Linked DNA regions of Yarrowia lipolytica. The protein of the gene in region 1 interacts with the protein of each later gene in a biochemical or structural test. Links are inferred from orthologs where the notes say so. Each region holds a gene or a part of one and is shown on either strand. Other genes may lie near its edges. The genes, in order: YALI1_B14418g, YALI1_C00913g and YALI1_F02697g.

Region 1 (3,412 bases):
CGTGTACAGGTATATTCACACTATCTTTACAAGTAGCTAGTAGAGCTGCAAACATGCCCTTCTCAATCTATAATTGCCCACCTCATCATGATCCTAAGAAGGGATGTCCCTCATACAATTTAACTGTAAAACAAATGCTCTTACGCACGGCTATGCTTCTTACTGTATATACAACTCACTCATACTCGCACGGCTGTATCCATAATAGAATACAAGCCTGTCAGCTCAGTCTCAAGGTACGATACTGTACTGTCCCATTGTAGCTTCTATACAAAAGTATCCAAGTAAAGACACGCGTCTGACACATGCACTAGTTGTACTCATGCTGTCGAGACACCATGGAGAATGGCTACCGTACAAGCTTGGCCAGTAATCGTATCGGCACCACTACAATCGACGATACAATTTGCAGTACATGCCATGCCTACACTCCACGCAACCACTAATATGCCATGTAATCATTATAGAATCCTTCTCAAGTGTAATATCAATCTCGTTCATAGACCTTTCTCCTCCGTCTCCAATTATGCTCTAGTGGACATCATGAGCCCCGGACCTGCAGCAGCGTTATATCCACTCTTCATGTTGGTTCCCACGTCAAAGTAGGCGTGGTCGGCAGCCCGCTTGGCCGAGATTCGGCATGCAGGATCGTATGCCAGCAGATGCTCCAGCAGATCGAGACCCTCGTGATCCAATGGAGTCACTGTTCGACCAATGTCTTTGCGGCTCCACTGGGGGAATGTGGGCTTGTAGTCGGGAAGAGCTGTCACGCCGGGCCAGGTCTCCTCGGTGGGGGTGCCCAGCAGTCTGAAAATCTTGAAGATCTCGTCAATCTCCGAGTCTCCGGGGAACAGGGGCTTTCGGGTCACCATCTCGGCAAAGATACAGCCAATGGACCACATGTCCACACCAGTGGAGTATTGTCGACCTCCCAGAAGAATCTCAGGAGCTCGGTACCAAAGTGTGACAACCTCGTGGGTATAGGTTCTGAGAGGCACACCAAAGGCCCGGGCCAGACCAAAGTCGGCCAGCTTGAGGTTACCCTCCCGGTCGATGAGCAGGTTCTGGGGCTTGAGATCCCGATGCAGGATTCTGTGTGCGTGGCAGTATCGGGTTCCCAAAATGAGCTGGTTCATGAACTTCTTGACCATGTCGGCGCCGAGACCTACGCCGGGCGAAATGCTCTCCATGTACTTTTTGAGATCCAGGTCGAGGAACTCAAACACCAGGTAGAGCTTGTGTGAGTCGGAGTGGACAATGTTGTAGAGCGACACAATGTTGTCGTTTCGCATTTCCTTGAGCAGTGAGATTTCTCGAATGGCTGTGGAAGGCACTCCCTCGTCCTCGGCTTCCAGTCGGATCTTCTTCAAGGCCACCAAACGGTTATTGTTGAGAGTATCTCGTGCCTTGTATACCACTCCGTATGTTCCTGAGTTAGTACGAATAGATGCGGTGCTGTGGATTTTTCAGAACTGCTCGTGTAGACACGCGCCGTAACGTGTCATGAAGTTCTTCCTTGTATCTCGTCATGTGTGGGTCTTGTAGAGCTCACAGGCGCTTTTGCGATGCTCGAGGTAACGGGATGATGTAGACCTACACGAATACACCGTACTGTCCCAGAGTCATATCAACGCTCAACACCATGTGCCACACAACTAAGGTCTTCATCATCACACCCAAGTTCCTCCACAGCCTCTTCACAAGTCAACAAACACTCCAACCACACATCATACTGACAGCAGTGGCCGTAAACAAACCGCTCCAGTTGTACATCTCTGCGATCCCAAACAAGCATGCAACCGCTCCCGATACCCAAATACTCACCCTCTCCCACTTTCTCCAGCTTCTGGTAATGATTTAAGTCGACCATGGGTATCTGATAATGCTGCGTCACTTAACAATTTGCCATGTTGCAAACGTTTTGGTTTTGATGCACCCATCCCTTGCCCGTTGCGGGGGCAACCACTCCTCCCAACCCAAACCCAAACACTCAATCGGACACGGTCTCCTCCCAATAGGGAACCCAGCAACAACGCGTCATGTAAAAAGCTTGGTGTCTCCCTCCCAACTGAACCACGCTAACGCTCAAAACGTGAGCTGCCACATGCGGCTGCTAATTACAGTATTATGACACGGCTGTCCTTAGGATAAAAGAAACCAAGCGTGCGAGTGTACAAGTCATACTACTTATACTTATACTGTTACAGCCGAGTAAATAAGTGTATCACGCGATACAATTACGCCTGCGTATGGTGTCATGTGACTGCAAAAATCACATGATGTTATCATCATATGACCACGCGTCCCTCTTCACCTGTTTTCTATTGTTTGGTCGTTTACTGCGCTGTTTCATGCATGCTATAGCGTGGGTCTGAGATGTCAACCGCGAGACAAGGCCGCCAACAGGCAGGCACATGTACAATACGGTAAAGAGACCTAAACGCAGACTCCTACTTGTAGTGTGGCCAAAGAAAAAGCACTGCGCCTGTCTTCTGAGATCAGCCTACTTACTTACCCCTTGATCTTCGTATTCAAAGAAGATGATCAAGATGATCTTCGCGTTTTTTTGACTTCCAGATCAAAGGTCCATGGAACAGGAAGCGCGACCTAGTAGACTGAGGACGTGAAAAAGCTGTGATACTGATGTTCTCGAAGACTCCCTACAAGTTTTGTGCTGATTATTATCAACAGCGAGTCCACTCTACTACTCGTGCGTTCTACGGTACGTACCTTACTACAAGGATGTACTGGTATATTACTCATCTAATTATACTGTACACTCCATAGATATCCACCTATTACTGATTAAATATTACATAACACCCAGACTAGTTCTTGTTGGCAGCGTTGGCTACAGGGATACCGACACCCAGACCAACGGCGAGAGCCACAATGATGAAACAAATGAGCAGACACCACCACTTCTTCTTTCGGTAGGCTCGGGCCTTGATGACGGCCTTGTTGGTGTGCCCGAGACCCTGCTCGATATCTGTCTGCACGCCCTGGGTCTGGTTGTCAATGTGCTGCACAGGGGCCTCCTGCTCGGCCACAAGCAACTCCATGTCGTGGAACAGCTGGGCCAGCTCCGACATGGTCTGCTCGATCTTCTGGATCTCCTTGTGTCGGTTCTGAACCTCGGAAAGGGCCGTCTGAGCCTGTCCTCGTCGGTTGGACGTCATCAATGCTTGGGAGAAAATCTGCTCGCCCTGGGCGTCGTCAATGGCGGAACGCACCTCGGCGTCAGTGGCCTCGGGGCGCACAATTCGGTATTGCCGCTCAGCCCGCTCTCGGTATCGCTGTCGGAACGTGGCCTCGACGGTCTGGTACCGCTGGATGGAGTTCATGAATTGCCGCTTGAGGTTCTCGGCCTGTGTCTTTTTGGTAGAGTCTCTGGTGGATCGCGATTGCAGGG
Region 2 (3,983 bases), on another chromosome or scaffold:
AGCTTTGGCAGCATTCTTCGAACCAACTTCAAGTTTGGATATAATTTGATTTGATTTGATATAATTGATTGTACTGCTGTACAGTATTACCAGTATTGTATTGATTCAACCAAGCGGCCATGACAAGAGCAAGATGAAGTGACAAAGATATTTGCAGCCTCGAACTCATCGAAATGCGCGCACACCGAAACGAGCACCTAAATGTTTATCTGTGTATGGTTTATTGGACGCCAATAACCCGGCTTATTGCAAGTACAGTAGGTCAGTATATAGCTGTAACGGATTATTAGAATATTTTTTCTTCTTCCTGGAATAAAAGAAAGCTAACTCGAATTTGACACGGATTGACAAGTACGGGAGCCAATAGTACAGTATGTATCCGTATAAAGGTGGCACACGGCTCACTGTGCTATCATAGAAACTGCTGTCTGATACCCCAGTGGAACTACAAAAACCACATCATCTGGTTTCTCTCACTCTACAGCAAGTTGTTCGTTAATGCAATAAATTAATCTACAAATACTTTTGCAACCACTCCACTTCAATGGCTGATGCAATGTCCATTCTCTGGACGTTGAGAGTGACCTTTCGCTGCACATAGTCATCTCGAATGCCGTACACTTCTCCCTTTGAAGCTCCTGTTCCTCCCTTGGAAGCTCTTCCCTTACCATTGATACCCAGGTTCTTCTTGCCACAGATACCGGTGATGTTGATAACCGAGTACGACTCCAGTGCGCTACAAACATCGAGAAACTCGTTGAATGGCAACGGGGACAGCATGCGGTGTTTCTTGCAGCTGCTGGTGTAGTGATCAAAGAGTCTCTGGATAGTGAGAGGCACATCGACTCCAGAGGTTATGGCTTCAATGGAGAGCTGCTTTTCGGCAGACGCCACTGTGCACAGGACGGCCTTTTGCTGGAGATTGAGCATCTTGATTCGCTGTGAGTTATTTCCTCCAAACACCTGGCTGCATACTCTTGCCATGGTTGCAATTGAGACGACTGGTTTAGAGACTGTAGATGGGTCGTTTTGAGCCAGTTTCTGGATGAACTCTTGTTCAGAGATTTCCAGAGCCTTCCGACAAATGTCAAAGGCCTTTCTCAGGTCTCCAGTGTTTGCCGATGCTTTTCTGGCACACAATTGGATCGCAGCAGGGTGGATGGCCATGGTGGTTGGGGCCACAGCAGGTGTCTTGTCTGTAGGAGTGTGAGGAGGGGTTAGAGTGAGGGTAGTAGGGTCAATTTGAGTCTTTTTGGGTGTGTTCAGGGGGGACAGAATCAAGTCTTCTTCCTTCTTAACGACAACCTCTTTTTTCAGGGAACTGTGCTCCCTGGAGAACTCGTCTGATGCCTTCACAATACGAGACTTGATGATGGAGGCAATCTGAACCGCGTCATAGGGCTTGAATTTCAACAGCTGAGGGTAGAAATTATTCGCCTTGAGTCGTGGCAGAAATCTATCAGTCAAATCCAGAGCATTAGCAATACCAACGAGAATCAACCGCGAACCCTTGCAGAAGGCCCATTCGAAAATGCGAAACAGAATGTCCTGATCTCTAGTCATGATATGGTCGATCTCGTCGAGCACCACGATTGACGTGCCTCGCTCAGCAAACTCTTTAGAAGTCTGGCACATGAATAGCTCCTCGAGTTTCGCCACACTTTTGTCAAACGAAATGTCTGCGGACAAGGCCTCATTCTCCTCAACCCCACTCAACTGTTTGTAAATGAGGTTCATGATGGCTCGCGCGCTCGGAGCCAGCATGCAGTTGATACTAGCAACCTTGATTCCCTCCTTGCCCCGAAATACCTTGTCCATGACTCTCTGAAGGAGGGCCGTCTTGCCTGTACCTGGAGGTCCACTCACGTACAGTGCAGCACCAGGTTGAGAGTACTTTGCCTGCAGTCTGCCTTCAAAGTAACGCAGCAACGTTGCTTCCTCAACTTGTCGACCAACCATTTCCTGGTCAGCAGCCAGGATGTGTCCCTTGCTTCCTCGAGAAAACATGCTCTTGATTTTGTTCAACTCGACCAAGTGGGGATGAAGCGGAGGTGGTGATGCGAAAGACGACCCTGAAGTGGCCGAGGAATCGGTGAATGGATCACATGACTCTCTCGGAGGAGACAACACACGAACTGAGTCGTCCTCAAAACACTCCACCTTGCGTCGCTTCAAACACAAGGGTTCCGTGGACACCCCTCTGTCCACCTCTCCAACCTGCTGACCCCCCATATCTTCTCCCTTGTTCACCTCGAGCTCCTTGAGAGGCACCCGGATGGGCTCCCGTCGCACTCGCTTCTGTGGTCGTTTCGGTGTTGCAACTGCCATCGTTTTGTGTGTATTGAAAAGGATGTGTCGAAAGATGTTACGTGCGCCCTCCCACTTATATCAATTACATGTCTGTTTTTGGCTTAATGAAAAACGCTAATTGTGTGCAGATGCGTTGACGCGTCGGAATGAGCAAAAACGCCAGGAAAACGAAACCAAATCGGGCCATTGCGCGTTCCATTGGAATGGTCACGTGATAAACCATGGCTTCGACGCGTTGCACCGGAAAACCGTCCCCAATATCCTTCAATAGGCGCCCTCATCTTTGCGCCCCTACCGTCAATCCAATTAATGCAATGCACCAGCCTCAATTCTCACCAGAATAAAGTTGGAGGTGAAGGGAATGTGGGTGAGAGAGAGAGAGAGAGGGAGAGAGAGAGAGAGAAAAGGGAAGACAAGAGCATCAACAAGAGAAGAGATGGAACCCGATATATATGACAGTACACTTGTACAATCACGTGACCCCTCCATCCGATGTCGCATATTACTCGTTATCCACTCTGCGCTTCAACTACGAGCCGCTATCCTCTTCATACAGCACATGCGTCAAAGCAAAACACGCGAGGTCACCTACCAGACCGTGCAGACGTGACCCACGCAGGAGGGCGACGCGTGTTGGGACAAGGGAGAGAAAGTGGAATATTGGGGGAGGTGAAATGGATAGGCAAAAACGGACGAAAATAATAGGACAAAATAATGACCATACTAAACAGGGACTGAATATAAGACCAAATAAGACGTTTCAGCGTTCTTTTATACTCTCTCGAACGATTTATATCTATGGTAAGACCATATCAAACGCTTCTTGAAGCACACCACCAAACATGGCTGCACATGATTGACGCAGATCTGGGCTGATGGAGGGCGTGGAGAAAGGATGTGGATAAAGAGCAGTGCTGTGCAAATCACGTGATACAAATCGAGTGTCGATTTCCATGGTCATTGTTTCTACTAGCTCTGAGAGTTGTACCTGTTGTGGGCTTCGTTGGTCTGCTGTTATTGTATGGCCAGCCTCCTCCACTTGTATAGTTGCAGATGTAGAGGATAAATATTATAGAATATCGGGGTTCATTTTAGACAGTATATAATAATGGCAATCTTCAAACAAACTTACTGTATATAATGTAGTTGTATTTTCTCATGGATTGTCCAAGTGATGTGCTGAAATACGATACTTGTTGCCCTGCGATGTTTGCACAATGTATACTGAACAACAATTCGGTCATTTTTTAAAAAAATGACAAGCGGTGGGAAAAAGTGCATCAATAGATTTGGGAGAACATTCCGAGTCCAATGGTAGTATGATATTTACATTTCATGGTGCAAAACAGTATTATTTTCTCATTCTAACACTTCAAGATTGTTCTCTATTTTGTTCAGTAACCTCGGGGCTGATTCGGCCTGTCTTGTCGGGCACCTTTTCAGTCCTGTGGCCCACAAAAGTAACAAACACAGACCAAAGTGACCATTTCTGAAAAGACTGCTTCACTCTCTCTAAACGAAGGAATCTGTGGACGATTGAGGACTGACACATGTCAGTGCTGACCGTCACTTGTGTGCTCAGCAAAAAACAGTATTCAAACAAGACAAGCCATATCCAGAGAGCAGTCAACATACCGTACTCGGCCATTGCCTCAGAAAAGACATTCTAGGCC
Region 3 (5,102 bases), on another chromosome or scaffold:
CCCGCTAGGACTGCCCTGACAAGCTAGATCCACACTCAATCCCCCTGCCCCCACTCCATGGATTGCTCAAACTAACATCTAAACTTTGCTCTTTATTATCATGTCGTATTTTGCGACCAAACTGGCCATACCCATGAAGCATACACAACATGACCAAAGACCATGTCACTATTGTACAGCTACTACGAGGTACATGTCTGACATATGGCTACTTGTAGTTATCATATCATATCTGACTGTTCAATTACATTACCCAAATAGACTAGCATCTCACCATCCACACTAGTAGCAGATCTTAAATCAGACCACCAAAGTCACGGTAACCATTAATGTGAGTGCTGCGATTATGTACGTATATCTGAACATGTCTACAGCACTGTGTACAACTGCACATTATGTACAGCCCCTTTCAGACGTTCCTACATCCCGCACCCATGACACTCAATGTCGATGATCATTAAATATGCAATAAATATATTCCCAATATCCTTCAATCCCTCATCTATCATACATACCCTTTCAATCACAACTCCATCCGCCAGTTATCTTCATCTGGAGAAATATGGCACATATCGTCATCTGAGTTGCCCGGAGGAGGCCCAAAATCGCCCTCGTAAACTACAGCGCCAGCCTTGCGATGGTGCTCGACCCACGCAGCCTCACTGGTGGCAAGAATGTCGTCGGCTGTGGGACGGCCTCGAGGATCAGGAGTCAGCATCCAAGACACCAATGAATCCAGAATACCGAGATCCTGGGTGAGGAACAAAGGAGCCCAGTCGGGGGCCGCAGAGCTTCGCCTAATCACTGGGGGATGCATGTTTGTCGAGCTGGAAGTGTTGCCCGTGCTGGCTCCACCGTTTCCAGCAGTGCCAGACCTGGAAGAACCGGTGCTTACACCGCTAGAAGAGGTGGTGTTAGCCGTGGTGCAGCTTCGGAGAGAAGACGAGTGGATACCGTGGTGGTCAAACGGAGGCATGCACGATGGACTCAGCACTCCCCCATCCTCCTCGTACGACTTGCTCCCGCACTCAATCGCGTCTCGTTCTTGGCCCTGGGAAGAAGTAGGCTCTCCAAACTGATGATCAAATCCAGCCAGGTCGCCAGAAGAGAGCCGACCAGCATCGGTCAAGTCGCCAGACCGTAGCTTCTGCCAGTGGATGCCGTTATCGGGCAAAACCACGTTGGCAGCAATCTCCAGAATAATCAGACCAAACGAAAAGATATCCGCAGGCTTGTCGTACTCCTGTCGACTCAGCACCTCGGGAGCGATGTACTCCCGGTCTCCCTCCCGCTCGATTCCCCGAGCTGCTGGCCATGTTGTTGCCATTCCAAAATCGCCAATCTTGAGAGTGCCCTCAAAAGTGATGAACACGTTGGCTGGCTTGATGTCCAGATGCATAAAGCCCTCGTTGTGGATGTACCGGATACCGAGGGCAAGTTCCACGAGAATCTTCCACACTCGCCAGTCGTCCAGACGCGCGATTCGGCCGTTTTCAGCCAGAAAAACATCCAGACTGCCGTTTTCGCAGTACTCAGTCATGATGAACAGGAATCCATGGTACTCCCACGAGTCGACAAGCTGGACAATGAAATCGCGCCCGTCTTCGTCACGTTTCGACTCGGTCAGCTTACGAAGAACTTCGACCTCCTCCATTCGTCGAGCACGAGCCTTGGGGCCGGCAAAGGGGTACTTCATCTTCTTCACAGCGTAACGGTTGGGCGGCGTGAGGATGACCGAGGAACCCGCAGGCATCTTAACGCGCTCGGTGACCGTGTAAACGGATGAAAACTCGCCAGATCCAATCAGAGAGACGCTGTCAAACTTTTGACTAAGCCACGACTCGCCAGCAATCATGTTCTCAGCAGATTGGTCCTGGGAAGACCGTTTGGCCGGTGTCCGGGGATCTGCAAAGGTAGGATCACTGGAGAAGTTGGGCGAGTTAAAGGGATTGTCTCCATTTCCAAGAGGGGTCTCTGGTTCCATGATGGACGAGGCCTGACGAGTGATAGTCCCAGGGGTAATGGTGATCTGCGACCCATCTGACCGCTGGTGACTTGCCTTGGCCAGAGAAGACAAGGATGTCAAAGAACCAATGTAAGACGCTCGTCTGTAGGGTCCCAGATTCGTGCTGCTGTTATTGCTGCTGCTGCCGTTGCTGTCATCATGGTTGTTAGTAGTGAGAGTTCGCTGGACGGATGGAAACGACTCACTCTCCTCCAGGGGCTTCGTAGGCGTGGAGGGAACGTCGTCCATGAACGAGGAGACTGCCGAACGCAGGTCGAATGCAAAGCGTGATGCTGAATCACGCAGCCCGCTTGGAGGGCCTGAGGGGATATTCTGGTGGCCGGTGGTGTTGATTGTGAGGGGCACTCTGTGAGCTCTACCGGAGGACGCAGACCTGTGACTGCTTCCGAGCATGCTGACACCCTCGTGGGAGACACTGCTGGTGAAGGGCCGGGGTGTGTTTCCGTCTCCTCTGAGTCCGTGCACGTCCTGCAAGCTCGAACTGCCGCTGGGTTTCTTGCAGGGCGTATCTGGAGGCACGAGAGAGTGGCCAGAAGATGAGTTGGGCAGGTTGCGCGTTCGTTTCGAAAGCAAGCCCGTGCTCATGAACGCAGTCTGCAGCGGTTTGACGAACCGGAACGAGTCTGGAGTGCCGTACTCCTTGTGTTCCACGTCAGCTATCTTTGTTTTGACGAGAGGATGCAAATGGGGTTGAGGATGATGAGGGTGCGGGTGCGAGTGGTGGGGGTGATGCGTTGGTGTTGGTGGCGATGATTCGACCGACGACGACATGAGATGGATCGTGGGCGGGTTATCTGACAATCGTCGTTCTCCTCCTCCTCCAGGAGGCACATTCTCTTGCTGGATGGCGGCCTTTTTGAATGGAGGCGCCTTGACCGGCGAATTGGGGTCAGAATCATGGAGTATCATCGAGTGGCGCGGTCGGTGGCTCCTGCTGGGGCTGCTGTCCATGTTGATATCTTCGAGCGACAGGTTGGACGCCTCTTCGAGGTTGTAGAGGCCCTTGGAGCGTCTTAGGGGCTGCATGGTTGACGAGTACACCGTGGGGGGCTCCGAGGCGCGCTGCTTGCTGGGACTGGGGCACGGCGAGAGGTCTGGCGGTAGGTCGTCGAGATTTGCCACCGTGTTGTTGCGGTGGATGGAGAGGTTGATAAGGGCGTCTGACGCTGAGTCGTCAAGCGACAGCGACGGTGACAGCTGTGGCGTGTTGGGCTTACTCTTTTTGAGCTTCACCTTGGACAGCGACGGTATGGAGGAGCGTGCCACCGAGTCGGGGCGGTGTTTGCGCCGGCGAGGCGACGGGGAGGCCGAGGGGGTGGCCGAGCTCATGTACATGTGAGTATGGGTATGTCGTGTTGACGCGTCGATCACGGTGTGAGTGTTGTAGTTTGGCGGTAGTTGTAATTCCGGTCAGGTTGTGTCGTCTGTTTCTTGTCGTGTCGTCTGTCTCGTCCTTGTGTATCGCGTCTGGTGGCGTTTTTCCCCCAAAAAAAATTAGTTGATGCGATTGTGGGTGAGGAATGTAGAAAAAGGAGCGTGTGCAAAGAAATGCAAAACTTTTCTGGAGGTCCAGTCGTGTCACAAACGCAGACCTGTTGCTCGGTCGGTCCTGCTGCTTTGCGTGTGACGTGTCGTGTGGGTGGCGCGAACGGTAGGTGAGCACTTGGGGGGTGCCTCTGGGGTTTGGAGACGCGAACAATGGTGGTGTTGGGTTGGGGGAGATTGGGACGGGTCTGTCTCCAGAGATGATGTGCGGAGCGGTGCGTCACTCCCAAAGTCTATGCATGGCCCAGGGTAGCGGTCTGATGGGGGCAAACAAACAGGCGCATGCGTCCATCACCCTCAGAGCGCGAAACCTAGAAGCCTATCCGAGCGAGCACACACACACACATCAAAACAGAAGGTGTGGGGGCTCGTCGGTTCTGAAGATGGGTGTAAGACAGTGAAGCCGGACGGACAGCCCAGAAGCAACCCGGAGGTGAATATTATGGGAGATAATTATGGTTCCATTCTGGCGGGCTTGTTTCTGCCCGGGCCACCATTGCCCAGTGCACGGTGGTAAACGCGTGTAGAGTTGGGAGAGTTCCGTAGGTACAGTAAGTTGAGGAAGAGGTGAATCTGTGAACGGGTCCAAGTGGAAGGAAGAACCGCACTTGTAGAGACATCGACGGAATGAAGGAAAAAGAAAGAGGAATTTACTCGTCAGATGTTCTCCCTACGGCTCGTTCTCCACCGTCAACACATGTCAAACTCGTCCTATTTGTACCGCCAATTTCATCGCTGTATTTGAACACTGGCCTTATTATTACGTATTGTCATTCAGGGGTCTTGGCACCCATTGTACTTTTTTCAATCAGACGCGTTCCAAAACTGCGCTATGAGTACAATACGATACAATAGTATGCATCAAGATACGAATCGTAGACGCAAAAATTATCAGTACGATCCTTGTATGTACTTGTGTCAGCTTCTAATCAAAATACGTCTCGTAATAAACACGTGTCGTACGTGGTACCGGCAGCCCAGCAACAAGGATGGACTTGATATGGTCAATCTTGCATGTTTCACCATCGCTTGTTTCAGGTGTAACACTCCAAACAGTACCCAAACATGACGACGATCATCGTACATACATCGTATGTATGGCGAGCGGGCAGGTGTGTGAATGGGTTGTGCCCATATAAGAGCATATCTGACGAGTGACATCTATCCGACGATTTAGAAACACACAGAAAGTCACCCGACAGGTCTATATAACCAGTTCGAGACCACACTTGTATCAGTTTATCACATTCCAAGCCAACCATGTGACTACAGTATTTCCAACCCGTCTCACACAGCCCCTCTTGTATGAACCGAAATACAATAGATACCAGCCGTACTTGCCGGACTTGTATGGGTCGGGTAACGTAATTTCCCGTACAGTTCGGGTTTACCAGACCCCCCTGACTCGCTTCTGTTATCATATGAAGTGCTCACTATCTAAGACACGAGAGCGGATATCTGCCCGTGAACCCTCTTGTCCCACTGCGTGAAAGAAAGACGGAAACGTGTCCCCACAGAAATACGAAAGAGC

Evidence for each region.
Region 2: of the proteins of YALI1_B14418g (region 1) and YALI1_C00913g, one has a biochemical effect on the other in vitro, tested with the Schizosaccharomyces pombe proteins (2 studies listed by BioGRID). The link is inferred for Yarrowia lipolytica from reciprocal best matches to the Schizosaccharomyces pombe genes cdc2 and cdc18.
Region 3: of the proteins of YALI1_B14418g (region 1) and YALI1_F02697g, one has a biochemical effect on the other in vitro, tested with the Schizosaccharomyces pombe proteins (3 studies listed by BioGRID). The link is inferred for Yarrowia lipolytica from reciprocal best matches to the Schizosaccharomyces pombe genes cdc2 and wee1.

What each region holds. Positions count from the first base shown.
Region 1 is NC_090771.1:1,440,389-1,443,800, forward strand, and holds YALI1_B14418g (uncharacterized protein), read right to left. Parts: upstream 1,871-3,412; coding exon 1,825-1,870; intron 1,430-1,824; coding exon 525-1,429; downstream 1-524. Other genes in the region: YALI1_B14441g (uncharacterized protein), read right to left, coding at 2,829-3,412.
Region 2 is NC_090772.1:89,069-93,051, forward strand, and holds YALI1_C00913g (uncharacterized protein), read right to left. Parts: upstream 2,329-3,983; coding exon 514-2,328; downstream 1-513. UniProt on the Schizosaccharomyces pombe protein: Part of the checkpoint control that prevents mitosis from occurring until S phase is completed. Plays a key role in coupling S phase to start and mitosis. Acts at the initiation of DNA replication and plays a major role in controlling the onset of S-phase.
Region 3 is NC_090775.1:266,367-271,468, forward strand, and holds YALI1_F02697g (uncharacterized protein), read right to left. Parts: upstream 3,362-5,102; coding exon 524-3,361; downstream 1-523. Other genes in the region: YALI1_F02701g (uncharacterized protein), read right to left, coding at 3,394-3,794, 3,848-3,863. UniProt on the Schizosaccharomyces pombe protein: Protein kinase that acts both on serines and on tyrosines. It acts as a dosage-dependent negative regulator of entry into mitosis (G2 to M transition). Phosphorylates and inhibits cdc2.